Linked DNA regions of Macaca mulatta. The protein of the gene in region 3 purifies or fractionates together with the protein of the main gene of each other region. This does not show direct contact. Links are inferred from orthologs where the notes say so. Each region holds a gene or a part of one and is shown on either strand. Other genes may lie near its edges.

Region 1 (2,954 bases), on a different chromosome or scaffold from region 3:
CTCGGCCTCCCAAAGTGCTGGGATTACAGGCTTCAGCCACCGCGCCCGGCCTCTGTTATGTTTTTTAAGACGGAGTCTCGCTCTGTTGTGAGGCTGGAGTGCAGTGGCATGACCTCGGCTCACTGCAACCTCCGCCTCCCGAGTTCAACCGATCCTCCTGCCTCAGCCTCCCAAGTAGCTGGGTCTACAGGCGCACGTCACTATGCCCAGCTAATTTTTTCTATTTTTAATAGACACGGGGTTTCATCATGTTGGCTGGGATGGTCTCGTCGTTCTCTTGACCTCGTGATCTGCCCACCTCAGCCTCCCAAAGTGTTGGGATTACAGGAGTGAGCTACTGCACTTGGCCTCATTTATGTGTGTTTCTATTTTCATGTGTTTATGTAATATCACTGTTTATTCTCTAACATGGAGCTCATGTCAACAGCATTCTAACTTGGGCTCAGCGAAGCGTCTGTAGCACGGTATTTCCTCCGTCCGGCATCACAGCCTCCTTGCACTCAGAATACCAGACAGCACTTCAGCACTGTACACAGGGGACATTGCAAATGGCAATATCACCAACAAATGGCCCCAAAAAGTTTTTTTTTTTAAAAAGGCACAAAAATGTGACAATACTTTGGGAGGCTGAGGCAGGCGGATTGCTTGAGCCCAGGAGTTGTAGGCCAGCCTGGGCAACATGGCAAAACCCCATCTCTACAAAAAAATACAAAAGTAAAAAATAAAAAATGAAAAATAAAAAAATAAAATTAGGCCGGACGCAGTGGCTCACCCCTGTAATTCCAACACTTTGGGAGGCCAAGGTGGGCAGATCACGAGGTCAGGAGCTCGAGACCAGCCTGGCCAATATGGTGAAACCCCGTCTCTACTAAAACTACCAAAATTAGCCAGGCATGGTGGGGGGTGTCTGCAATCCCAGCTACTCGGGAGACTGAGGCAGGAGAACTGCTTGAACCCGGGAGGCAGAGCTTGCAGTGAGCCAAGATCGTGCCACTGCACTCCAGCCTGGCAAGAGAGCTAGACTCCGCCTCAAAACAAAAACAAAAATTAGCTAGGCATAGTGGTGCACGCCCATGGTCCCAGCTGATGAGGAGGCTGAGGCCAGAGGATTGATTGAGCCCCAGGGGTGGTGTGTGTGTGTGTGTATGTGTGTGTGGCAGGCACTGAGGCTGCAGTGAGCCATGATCATGCCTCTATACTCCAGCCTGGGCAACAGAGCAAGACCCTGTCTCAAAAAACGAAAGTGAAAACGTAGCACTAAATAGAATACAACAAGGACACTTATTTACAGCATGAGCTAAAGGAAGCAGCCAGTGTTGCCTCATTCACACTCAGCTAGGAAAGTGGGTGTCAGGTGACTCGAATTTGTGGTCAAAAGCAGGGCAGATATTTACTTGCGGATTACAAATAAATCTTAGCAAGCAAGGAGATTCTCAGATACAGAGTCTACAAACAACCAGGGCTGCTGGTAGCTGCTGCCTCCCACAGGAGGTGCCCCTGGGCAGTCCCCAGGCCCTGACCTGCGGTTTCTGTGAAAACACCATCAGCGCTGGGGGTCTCTTCCAGTGTCCAGCCACCGAGAGACCAAATTCGGGCTCTGCCACTTTCTAGACTTGTGACCTGGGCAAGTCACTGGGCCTCACTGTCCTGCCCTGTAAAATGGCACTGAGGTGATATCTACCTTCTGAGCTTCTTCTGCAGATCCAAGGAGTTAAAAGAGCCAACAGAGCCAGGCACAGCGGCCCACCATCCTCTGTAGGATGCCTGCTTCATCCCTTTTGTGGTGCCCACCCCAACCACCCAGTTTCAGCTGGGCCCACAGCTGCAGTCCCCAGCCTTCTTTGCCACCAGGTACGGCCCTGAGCCTGAGCAGCACCGGGCAATGGGATGTGGGTACAAGGGTGGGGTGCAGCCTGTGGATCACAGCCTATGGGAGCTGCCTGCCCTCCACATCCCCCTGCTTCCTGCGGGCCAAAATGTGGCGAGGTGGAGAAGACAGCCAGCAGGCATGGTGGCGGGTGCCCATAATCCCAGCTACATAGGGTGCTGGCAACACCTGGGAGACGAGGTTCCCAGGCTTCAGCACAGCACAGTACCCTCTGTGTCACAGGAATCTGTCCCCGGCATCCTCAGACCAAACACAACACTAAGAGTTCCCCACGCACACGGTGCTGGCAACACCTGGGAGACGAGGTCCCCAGGCTTCAGCAGAGCATGGTACCCTCTGTGTCATGGGAATCTGTCCCTGGCATCCTCAGGCCAAACACAACAGTAAGAGTTCTGTGAATGAAGTTGTTGGGTCGAAGTGACTGAACAGTCGTAGTTTATGTCGTGTCTAACAGATGTCACTGTGCTTCCCTCAAGATTAGAGAACATCCCACAGCACTCCTGTGAGTTTCCTGCAGCGCCCTGGGGCGCTTCGCACGCAGTTTGAAAACTGCAGCCTTGGGGGCCAAAGGAGTAGCAAGACAGAAAGGCAGCAAGAACAGTCTCTGGGCTTCCTCGGGGAGCAGAGCTGCCTCCCACCCGCCTTTTGTAAGGGAAGAGCGCACACCGCAGTCACGGGTCCCTCCCTGATCAGGTGTCAACACAGGCTCCCTGTGGACCCTCTGACCACATCCACTGCCCGGAGCATCCCGTTTTCCCCAGAGGCCCCTGCAGCTGGCTCACCGCGTGATGCCACGGTTGGTGGCCATGATCAGGACGGGCGCCATGTCACTCTCCAGGGCCCGGTTGAGGAAGGAAAAGCTCTCGATGTCCAGCATGTGGACCTCATCAATGAACAGCACCTGGGATTGGGGTGTGTGTGAGAGTCACCACCCACGTCCCTGCTTCCCCAGCCCACTCCCACCCCGCCACCTGCCCCGGCCATGTCCCAGGTCCTCACTCCAGGGATGATCTCCGCCTTGCCCTCCTCGCGCCACTCTGCCACCTTGGCATTGATCTGCTCGCGG
Region 2 (3,651 bases), on a different chromosome or scaffold from region 3:
AGGATAAGACTTCTAGAAATCTGACTTCAGATAAGTAAGTTATCACCATACTAGGCACAAAAAAGAAAGAAATCTGTACAACTCATTTACTCAAAAAAAAAAAAAAGTGGAAATGGCAATGACTATGACTTCAACATTTGGGTTCTAACTATTTATATATTTATACTTTAACACAAATTACCGAGGCAGCTCTGCTCCCTTGTGGGTTGAGACTTTGGATATGAAAGCTTTCATGCTCTCTGAGACTTGAGTTAAGTCATAGTTCTGCTCCTTCTCCTCCTTGGAAATAGACTCTGAATCTTTTTTGCCAGCAGCTTCCTGCAGCAGCTGGTCCAGCTGATCTGGTGAGAGATCTAACCACTGGTCATCTGAAAAAGAAGAAAGCATGATATTGCCATTCTACATTCACATGATAAGTCCTCTTAGGAGAGGATCCTGTGAGACTTAGAAGAACATTTTAATTTTTTTTTTTTTAACCCTTCCACTGTATCCTGGTCCATCACTTACCATCCTCTGGAGGAAGATTAGCTGCTTCTTTCTTAAGGTCTTCTATATCAAATGGTATTGTCTGTAATAAGGTTAAGATTTCTTCACCAGGGCTCATAGCAAGAGAACTATGAAAAATAAAAAACATGAGTATTTCTTCATAAGAGAACCTAGAATAGTAATCATAAATACATAGTATTTTAAAGTTGGAAGGGATTAGCTAGTCTAATTTGGGGAGTTTTTTTTTTTTTTTTTTTTAAAGAGATGGGGGCCGGGCGCGGTGGCTCATGCTTGTAATCCCAGCACTTTGGGAGGCCGAGGCGGGCGGATCACGAGGTCAGGAGATCGAGACCATCCTGGCGAACATGGTGAAACCCCGTCTCTACTAAAAATACAAAAAATTAGCCAGACGCGGTGGTGGGCGCCTGTAGTCCCAGCTAGTTGGGAGGCTGAGGCAGGAGAATGGCGTAAACCCGGGAGGCGGAGCTTGCAGTGAGCCGAGATCGCGTCACTGCACTCCAGCCTGGGCGACAGAGTGAGACTCCGTCTCAAAAAAAATAAAAATAAAAATAAAAAAAATAAAGAGATGGGGTTTCATTGTTGCCCAGAATGGACTCGAACTCCTGGGTTCAAGTGATCCTCCTACTTCAGCCTCCCAAGTAGCCGGCACTACAAGTACATGCCAAAACACCTGGCTCTAATTTGTTTGTTTGTTTGTTTTTGACAGAGTCTCACTCTGCCACCTAGGGTGGAGTGCAGTGGCACGACCTCGGCTCACCACAACCTCTGCCTCCTGGGTTGAAGCAGTTACCATGCCTCAACCTCCCAAGTAGCTGAAACTACAGGCATGCGCCACCACGCCTGGCTAATTTTTGTATTTTCAGTAAAGATGGGGTTTCACCATATTGGCCAAGTTGGTCTCGAACTCCTGACCTCGTGATCCCCCTGCCTCGGCCTCCCAAAGTGCTGGGATTACAGACATGAGCCACCGTGCCCAACCTTCTAATTTGTTTTTAAGCATATTTTTAGGTTACAGATCCCTTTTTCTCAAAAAAAAAAACTTTTACCAGGAATTCTAAAATATAGAAGGGCTCAAAGAAAAATGGCCTTAATTAAAGTGGAGGATAGGCCAGGCACGATGGCTCATGCCTGTAATCCCAGCACTCTGGGAGGCCAAGGAGGGGAGATCACTTGAGGTCAGGAGTTCACTTGGCCAACATGGTGAAACTCCGTCTCTACTAAAAATACAAAAATTAGCTGGGCATTGTGGCACACGCCTGTAATCCCAGCTACTCGGGAGGCTGAGGCAGGAGAATTGCTTGAACCCGGGAGGTAGAAGTTGCAGTGAGCCACCCCAGCATGGGCAACAGAGCAAGACTCCGTCTCAATAAATAAATAAAATAAAATAAAAATAAATCAAGTGGAGGATAGAGGTTCAGAGATCTACACAATTTGCCTTCCCTTTTGGCTCTGAAGCAGGCTCCATGGAACATCATTATGAAGCCACTGATCTCGTATAATTCTTTCTATACATATATGTATAGACAGGGTCTATATGTATATATATGTACATAGAAAGAGTTGTATTATATTAATAGTACATATACATATAAAAGACGTACTAAAAATACATAAAGACATACATATAACATATGTATTTTATATATAAAGAAAAGAAGATCCAGAAGGAAAGTATCAATTAAAATTTATCTAGCATGTATTAAATGCTATGCTAACACTTTAAATACATTTTCTTATTGAGTCCTCTCCTCATTATTATAGAAGGTAATAATCCTGTTTTACAGATGAGAAAACCAGAGCCCAGGGAAGTTCTATAACTCTTGCAAAGTCTGTACTACCCAGGAGGCAGAGGTTGCAGTGAGCCAAGATCATGCCATTGCACTCCAAGCTGGGCGACAAGAGAAAGACTCCATTGGGTGGGGGCCGTGGCTCACGCCTGTAATCCCAGTACTTTGGGAGGCCGAGGCGGGCGGATCACGAGGTCAGGAGATCGAGACCATCCTGTCTAACACAGTGAAACCCCATCTCTACTAAAAAAAAAAAAAAAAAGCCAGGCATGGTGGCGGGCGCCTGTAGTCCCAGCTACTTGGGAGGCTGAGGCAGGAGAATGGCATGAACCTGGGAGGTGGAGCTTGCAGTGAGCTGGGATCACGCCACTGCATTCCAGCCTGGGCTACAGAGCGAGACTCCATCTCAAAAAAAAAGAGCAAGACACAGTCAAAAAAAAAAAAATCCTCATTCTTTAAGACTTAACTGAAATACCTCCTCCCTGAAGCCTTCCATTATCTTTCTTTTTTTAACTTCTCTGCTTCAACCTTTGTGAAAGTTTATTACCTTCTCACTATGACTCTCTTTAGCATTGATATTCCACAATGATTTTTATTTTGCCTTTTGTTATGATTATTTGGGTTATTCTTTTCTCTCTCCTAGTAATGTTTACATATTAATAATACAGAGTAGAGACAGTTCCCCATCACCTATGTGATTTTGCAAGATATGCAAATGTTTATTCAATTAAAGCAAGTCCTTTATACAACTTGATCTGGTCCATTCTTAATAGTTCAGACAGGGTGCCATCAATTTATGTAACAAATCATGTCAGCATTATGTCACTCACTCAACACATAAGTATCTCTGTGCATAGTTTCTTTTTTTTCTTTTTCTAAGACAGGGTCTCACTCTGTCGCCTAGGCTAGAGTGCGTGGCATGATCACAGCTCACTGCAGCCTTGACTCTTGGGCTCAAGCAATCTTCCTACCTCAGCAAGTAGCTGGGATTACAGGCATGAGCCACTGTGCCTGGCTATTTGTTTGTGTATTTTTAATTTGAGTAGCTGGGATTACAGGTGCCCACCACCTCATCCGGCTAATTTTTTGTACTTGTAGTAGAGATGGGGTTTCACCATGTTGGCCAGGTTGGTCTCAAACTCCTGACCTCAGGTGATTCGCCCACCTCGGTCTCCCAAAGTGCTGGGATTACAGGCATGAGCCAATGCGCCCGGCCTATTTATTTATTTTTAATTGACAAAAAAGGGTATAGGTTTATCATGTAACTTAAAAATATTGTAGAGATGTAATCCCAGCACTTTGGGAGGCTGAGGAGGGCAGATCACAAGGCCAGGAGATTGAGACCATCCTGGCCAAC
Region 3 (4,180 bases):
ATGCCAAGAATGCAAGGTTCTGACCACTGTTCACTCCAGCCATTTCTCAGGATTGTGTTTGCAACAAACAACCTTGAGGAATGAGATAATGTCTCCTTCCAGGACAAAGAGCAGGTGTATTTACTGTCTGCCATGAAAGAGGTGGATTCTCCAAGCTCAAGTATTCTTTAGCCACGATGCCAACCCACTGAATGTGCAGCATTCTTCTAGGACCATCAGCATAATACCTGTAGGGTTGACAAGCAAGAGCAAGCCACACAAACATGATGCTCATGCTGCTTGCTGTGCTATGTGTAGTCTTATCTTTGACCCAGGAGTCTCATGTCTTCGGTCAGCTACCGTGAAACAGTAACAGGCTACAATGTATTAGCTTATAAATAGTGTAAAATTAAATCCTGACAGACACCTCTCTAACACTAATCTCCCTTTTTAAAATAATAACCATTTGGCTCAGAGCCTTCAACAGGCAATATTGTCTGATAACACTGTTATGTTTTTATAATATTTATCTTTACAGTTACCTTACCAGTGGCAACTGTCACAGGATTATAAAGCTTCCTTAAAGAAATGATACAACAGGCTGGGCTCAGTGGCCCATCCTTGTAATCCTAGCACTTTGGGAGCCTGAGGTGGGCGGATCGCCTAAGGTCAGGAGTTCGAGACCGGCCTGGCCAACATGGTGAAACTCCGTCTCTACTAAAAATACAAAAAATAAGCCGGGCGTGGTAGCTCGTGCCTGTAATCCCAGCTACCCAGGAGGCTGAGACAGGAGAATTGCTGGAACCCAGGAGGTGGAGGCTACAGTGAACCAAGATCACGCCACTGCACTCCAGCCTGGCTGACAGAGTGAGACTCTGTCTCAAAATAAATAAATAAATAAGACATATATATATCTCCTTTCACAGACAGGACCCATTAACTGAAACTCTTTTTCGTAGGGAATCCTGGTATTCATCCTCACTCCCCACAAAAGAAATCTTAACAGCAGTCTGATTTCCCATGCATCCAATGTCTCCCCATGACAATATGAGGAAACATTGTTCTTTTGATATTTTTTTTCTTTTTTTAAGAAATGAGGTCTCACTATGTTGCCCAGGCTGTTCCTTTACTACTAGGCTCAAGAGATTCTCCCGCCTTAGCCTCCCAAAGTCCTGGGATTACAGGCATGGGCCACCACACCTGGCCAACGTTGTTAATGAAAGCACAGCTTTACAGAAAGCGTCTTTGGACAGAATGAATGTTTTAAAGTTTAACAATAGGATTTGCTGACAGCTTAAGAAATAACTAAATTTGTGTGGAAATCTCTTGGCAAAATAGCTTCAAGTTTCCCTGGTAGAATAAAGACCTCCCTTCTGGAAATACCACGAACCTTCTTCTGTGACTATCTCAGGTCAATATTTTCTACAACGCACTGCCAAGATATACGTACTTTATCTTTTTTTTTTTTTTTTTTTTTTGAGACAGAGTCTCACTTAGTCGCCCAGGCTGGAGTGCAGTGGCGCGATCTCGGCTCACTGCAAGCTCCGCCTCCCGGGTTCACGCCATTCTCCTGCCTCAGCCTCCCGAGTAGCTGGGACTACAGGCGCCCGCCGCCTCGCCCGGCTAATTTTTTGCATTTTTAGTAGAGACGGGGTTTCACAGTGTCAGCCAGGATGGTCTCGATCTCCTGACCTTGTGATCCGCCCGCCTCGGCCTCCCAAAGTGCTGGGATTACAGGCGTGAGCCACCGCGCCCGGCCCGTACTTTATCTTATTACCCTTATTATACTATAAGCCTCTGGAAGACAAGGACCTTATGATTTCCCACTGTTTTTTGTTTTTTTGTTTTTTCTTTTTTGAGACGGAGTCTCGCTCTGTCGCCCAGGCTGGAGTGCAGTGGCTGGATCTCAGCTCACTGCAAGCTCCGCTTCCCGGGTTTACGCCATTCTCCTGCCTCAGCCTCCCGAGTAGCTGGGACTACAGGCGCCCGCCACCTCGCCCGGCTAGTTTTTTGTATTTTTAGTAGAGACGGGGTTTCACCATGTTAGCCAGGATGGTCTCGATCTCCTGACCTTGTGATCCGCCCATCTCGGCCTCCCAAAGTGCTGGGATTACAGGCTTGAGCCACCGCGCCCGGCCGATTTCCCACTGTTGCTCAGAGCAAGCATAAAACAGTCCCCGTTAAAAAAAAAAAAGGCTATTCAACATTCCCTTATTTCTGTTTATGGCAGTTTAGTCTTCAAGATGGACACTTCACATTAAGTCCTGTGAGCCTCACAACAAACGTAGTGTGTTACACTGTGCTATATAGGTTATACAACTATACGTTATTATAGTTCAATTTTACAGGTGAGTAATCGAGGATAAGTGACTTGCCTTCCGTCACTCTGCTACTAAGCTGTAGAGGTAGGTTTCGATCTCATTGCTTTTGAAGATTTACACGCGATCCCCCGTGATTCCGGAATATCCCTCTTCCTACAGGAGACATCGGCCCCGCCCCCCCCCGGGGCTGCGCGACCCCATCAGGAAAGCCCTTTAGCCTCGCACAAGTGACAGTGAGGCACGACAGGCTCCCGAGCCGCCAGGGTCTGCATAGGCTCGGCAGGCGCAACGAGTGAGGCGATCAAAGCCAGGCCTCGACCCAAATCCTCGGGGGCCAGGGTGGGGCAGGGGCCCACCTGCTTAAAGCCGGATCCTCGTCGCTAGGCTCTTCAACCGCGTAGGGGTCGTAATCATCCGGAAGCCGGTTCATGGTGGCCTGCAGCGGCCTACACCATCCACAAGCGATTTGCAGCGTCTCTGTTTACACTGCCGGTCCAGTCCCTAAAGCTCCCCTGACGCCACTTCCGTCTGAACTTCCGAGTCCCCCTTGCGCGCCTGCGCAGACCGACCAAAGCAAGGGGGGCACGTAGAAGGCGGGGAAGGGGCGGAGCAGGAGCGAAAAGGGGCGGAGACGGGGGCGGGTCTTAATCCCACCATTTTCTTCCGCGGCTTCTGCTTACAGGAAAATAGCAGCTACCTTGCCACCAAAAATAATGATGGGCACTCTCGTAAGTGGTAGTCTCTGAGGGGAACACGCTACATGCAGTGTCTCATCACCTACGAAGCAGGAATCTAGACGCTGAGGGACACACGGCCCGAAATCCAATAGGTCCTCAGACACCAGCACCCGCATCTCGCCAACCTCGCCTCTAACCCTTATGCCTTCCACACCGTGAGGCTCTCAACCGCTCCTTCACACTGTTCACTCCTCAGTCTGACTTTGGCCTCGACAATCTACCGAAAAGTTATATTTTCTCGTCATCTTCCCAGTCCCCACTTTTGCTCAGCCCTCAACTGATCCCACTCGATACTTGAGGAGACCAGGCAGATGACAGCCACTTGATCTCCATCGGGAGACTGTTTCCAACCCTGTTTCTGAACGAGGAACTCGGGTTCCTGCCTCCTACTGAGACACCGTAGCACTCTCTAAAATGTGAAGTAGCTGTAATAAATCTACTCCTATATAATGCTTTACAGTGCAGGTCTTAGTTTTTCTTTTTTCTCGTTTCTTTTGAAATGGCATCTCGAACAAAGTCCACCAATCCCTTTACAAAAGAATGAACTGCTCCTCTGTGTGTACTTCATAGAAGGTGGAATCGGACAGAGGCAGGTTAGCGACAGTTATTCCTGAAATACAGGAGCAAAGTACAGTCTGTTGTGGTTTCCAGGATTCCACGCCTAGCTCAGCCAATTAAGCATGAGACATATACCAGTGAGCCACTTAGTAGTTATGCGAGTGGATAGATTGGTATGTAGAGGGAAAGAGGTCTGCTGTAAAGAACAACACTTGTTTGTCTGTGGGGAAAGAAAAGTAGAATACTTGAGATGAAAGTTGGCATACAAATAGGATACTGTCGCCAGTAGTTATATTACAAACACTGTCGGCCTTTCTAATGTGAATGAACATTACTGTCATTCCTAGTTTAAAGTTAGGTTGCGTGGTTGGATTTTTCCACTATCGTTTTCTAATTTTTCTACCATTTGGAGACCCATAGGGATTTGGGCCTGTCACCCCTTGGATGGGTTCCTAGTTTGTTTACATTTTCCTGAACCCTCCTGAGCGCCCATTCTTGGTCTAGTCCCCGGTCGTGATGATTCCACACTTCCTCAGCAGCATGTTCTCTTGTCTCATTCATGAGCTGATCAGTGTTTCGTCTCTT

What was found.
Region 1: the proteins of EAPP (region 3) and RUVBL2 purify together in Homo sapiens (affinity purification with mass spectrometry; 3 studies listed by BioGRID and IntAct, with this or other methods). This does not show direct contact. The link is inferred for Macaca mulatta from reciprocal best matches to the Homo sapiens genes EAPP and RUVBL2.
Region 2: the proteins of EAPP (region 3) and ECD purify together in Homo sapiens (affinity purification with mass spectrometry; 3 studies listed by BioGRID and IntAct, counting the BioPlex papers as one, with this or other methods). This does not show direct contact. The link is inferred for Macaca mulatta from reciprocal best matches to the Homo sapiens genes EAPP and ECD.

Annotation. Positions count from the first base shown.
Region 1 is NC_133424.1:61,467,679-61,470,632, reverse strand, and holds part of RUVBL2 (ruvB-like 2), read right to left. Parts: coding exon 2,888-2,954; intron 2,790-2,887; coding exon 2,671-2,789; intron 1-2,670. UniProt on the Homo sapiens protein: Possesses single-stranded DNA-stimulated ATPase and ATP-dependent DNA helicase (5' to 3') activity; hexamerization is thought to be critical for ATP hydrolysis and adjacent subunits in the ring-like structure contribute to the ATPase activity.
Region 2 is NC_133414.1:76,420,291-76,423,941, reverse strand, and holds part of ECD (protein ecdysoneless homolog), read right to left. Parts: intron 615-3,651; coding exon 508-614; intron 369-507; coding exon 182-368; intron 1-181. UniProt on the Homo sapiens protein: Regulator of p53/TP53 stability and function. Inhibits MDM2-mediated degradation of p53/TP53 possibly by cooperating in part with TXNIP. May be involved transcriptional regulation. In vitro has intrinsic transactivation activity enhanced by EP300.
Region 3 is NC_133412.1:107,651,705-107,655,884, forward strand, and holds the start of EAPP (E2F-associated phosphoprotein), read right to left. Parts: upstream 2,804-4,180; 5' UTR 2,731-2,803; coding exon 2,657-2,730; intron 1-2,656. UniProt on the Homo sapiens protein: May play an important role in the fine-tuning of both major E2F1 activities, the regulation of the cell-cycle and the induction of apoptosis. Promotes S-phase entry, and inhibits p14(ARP) expression.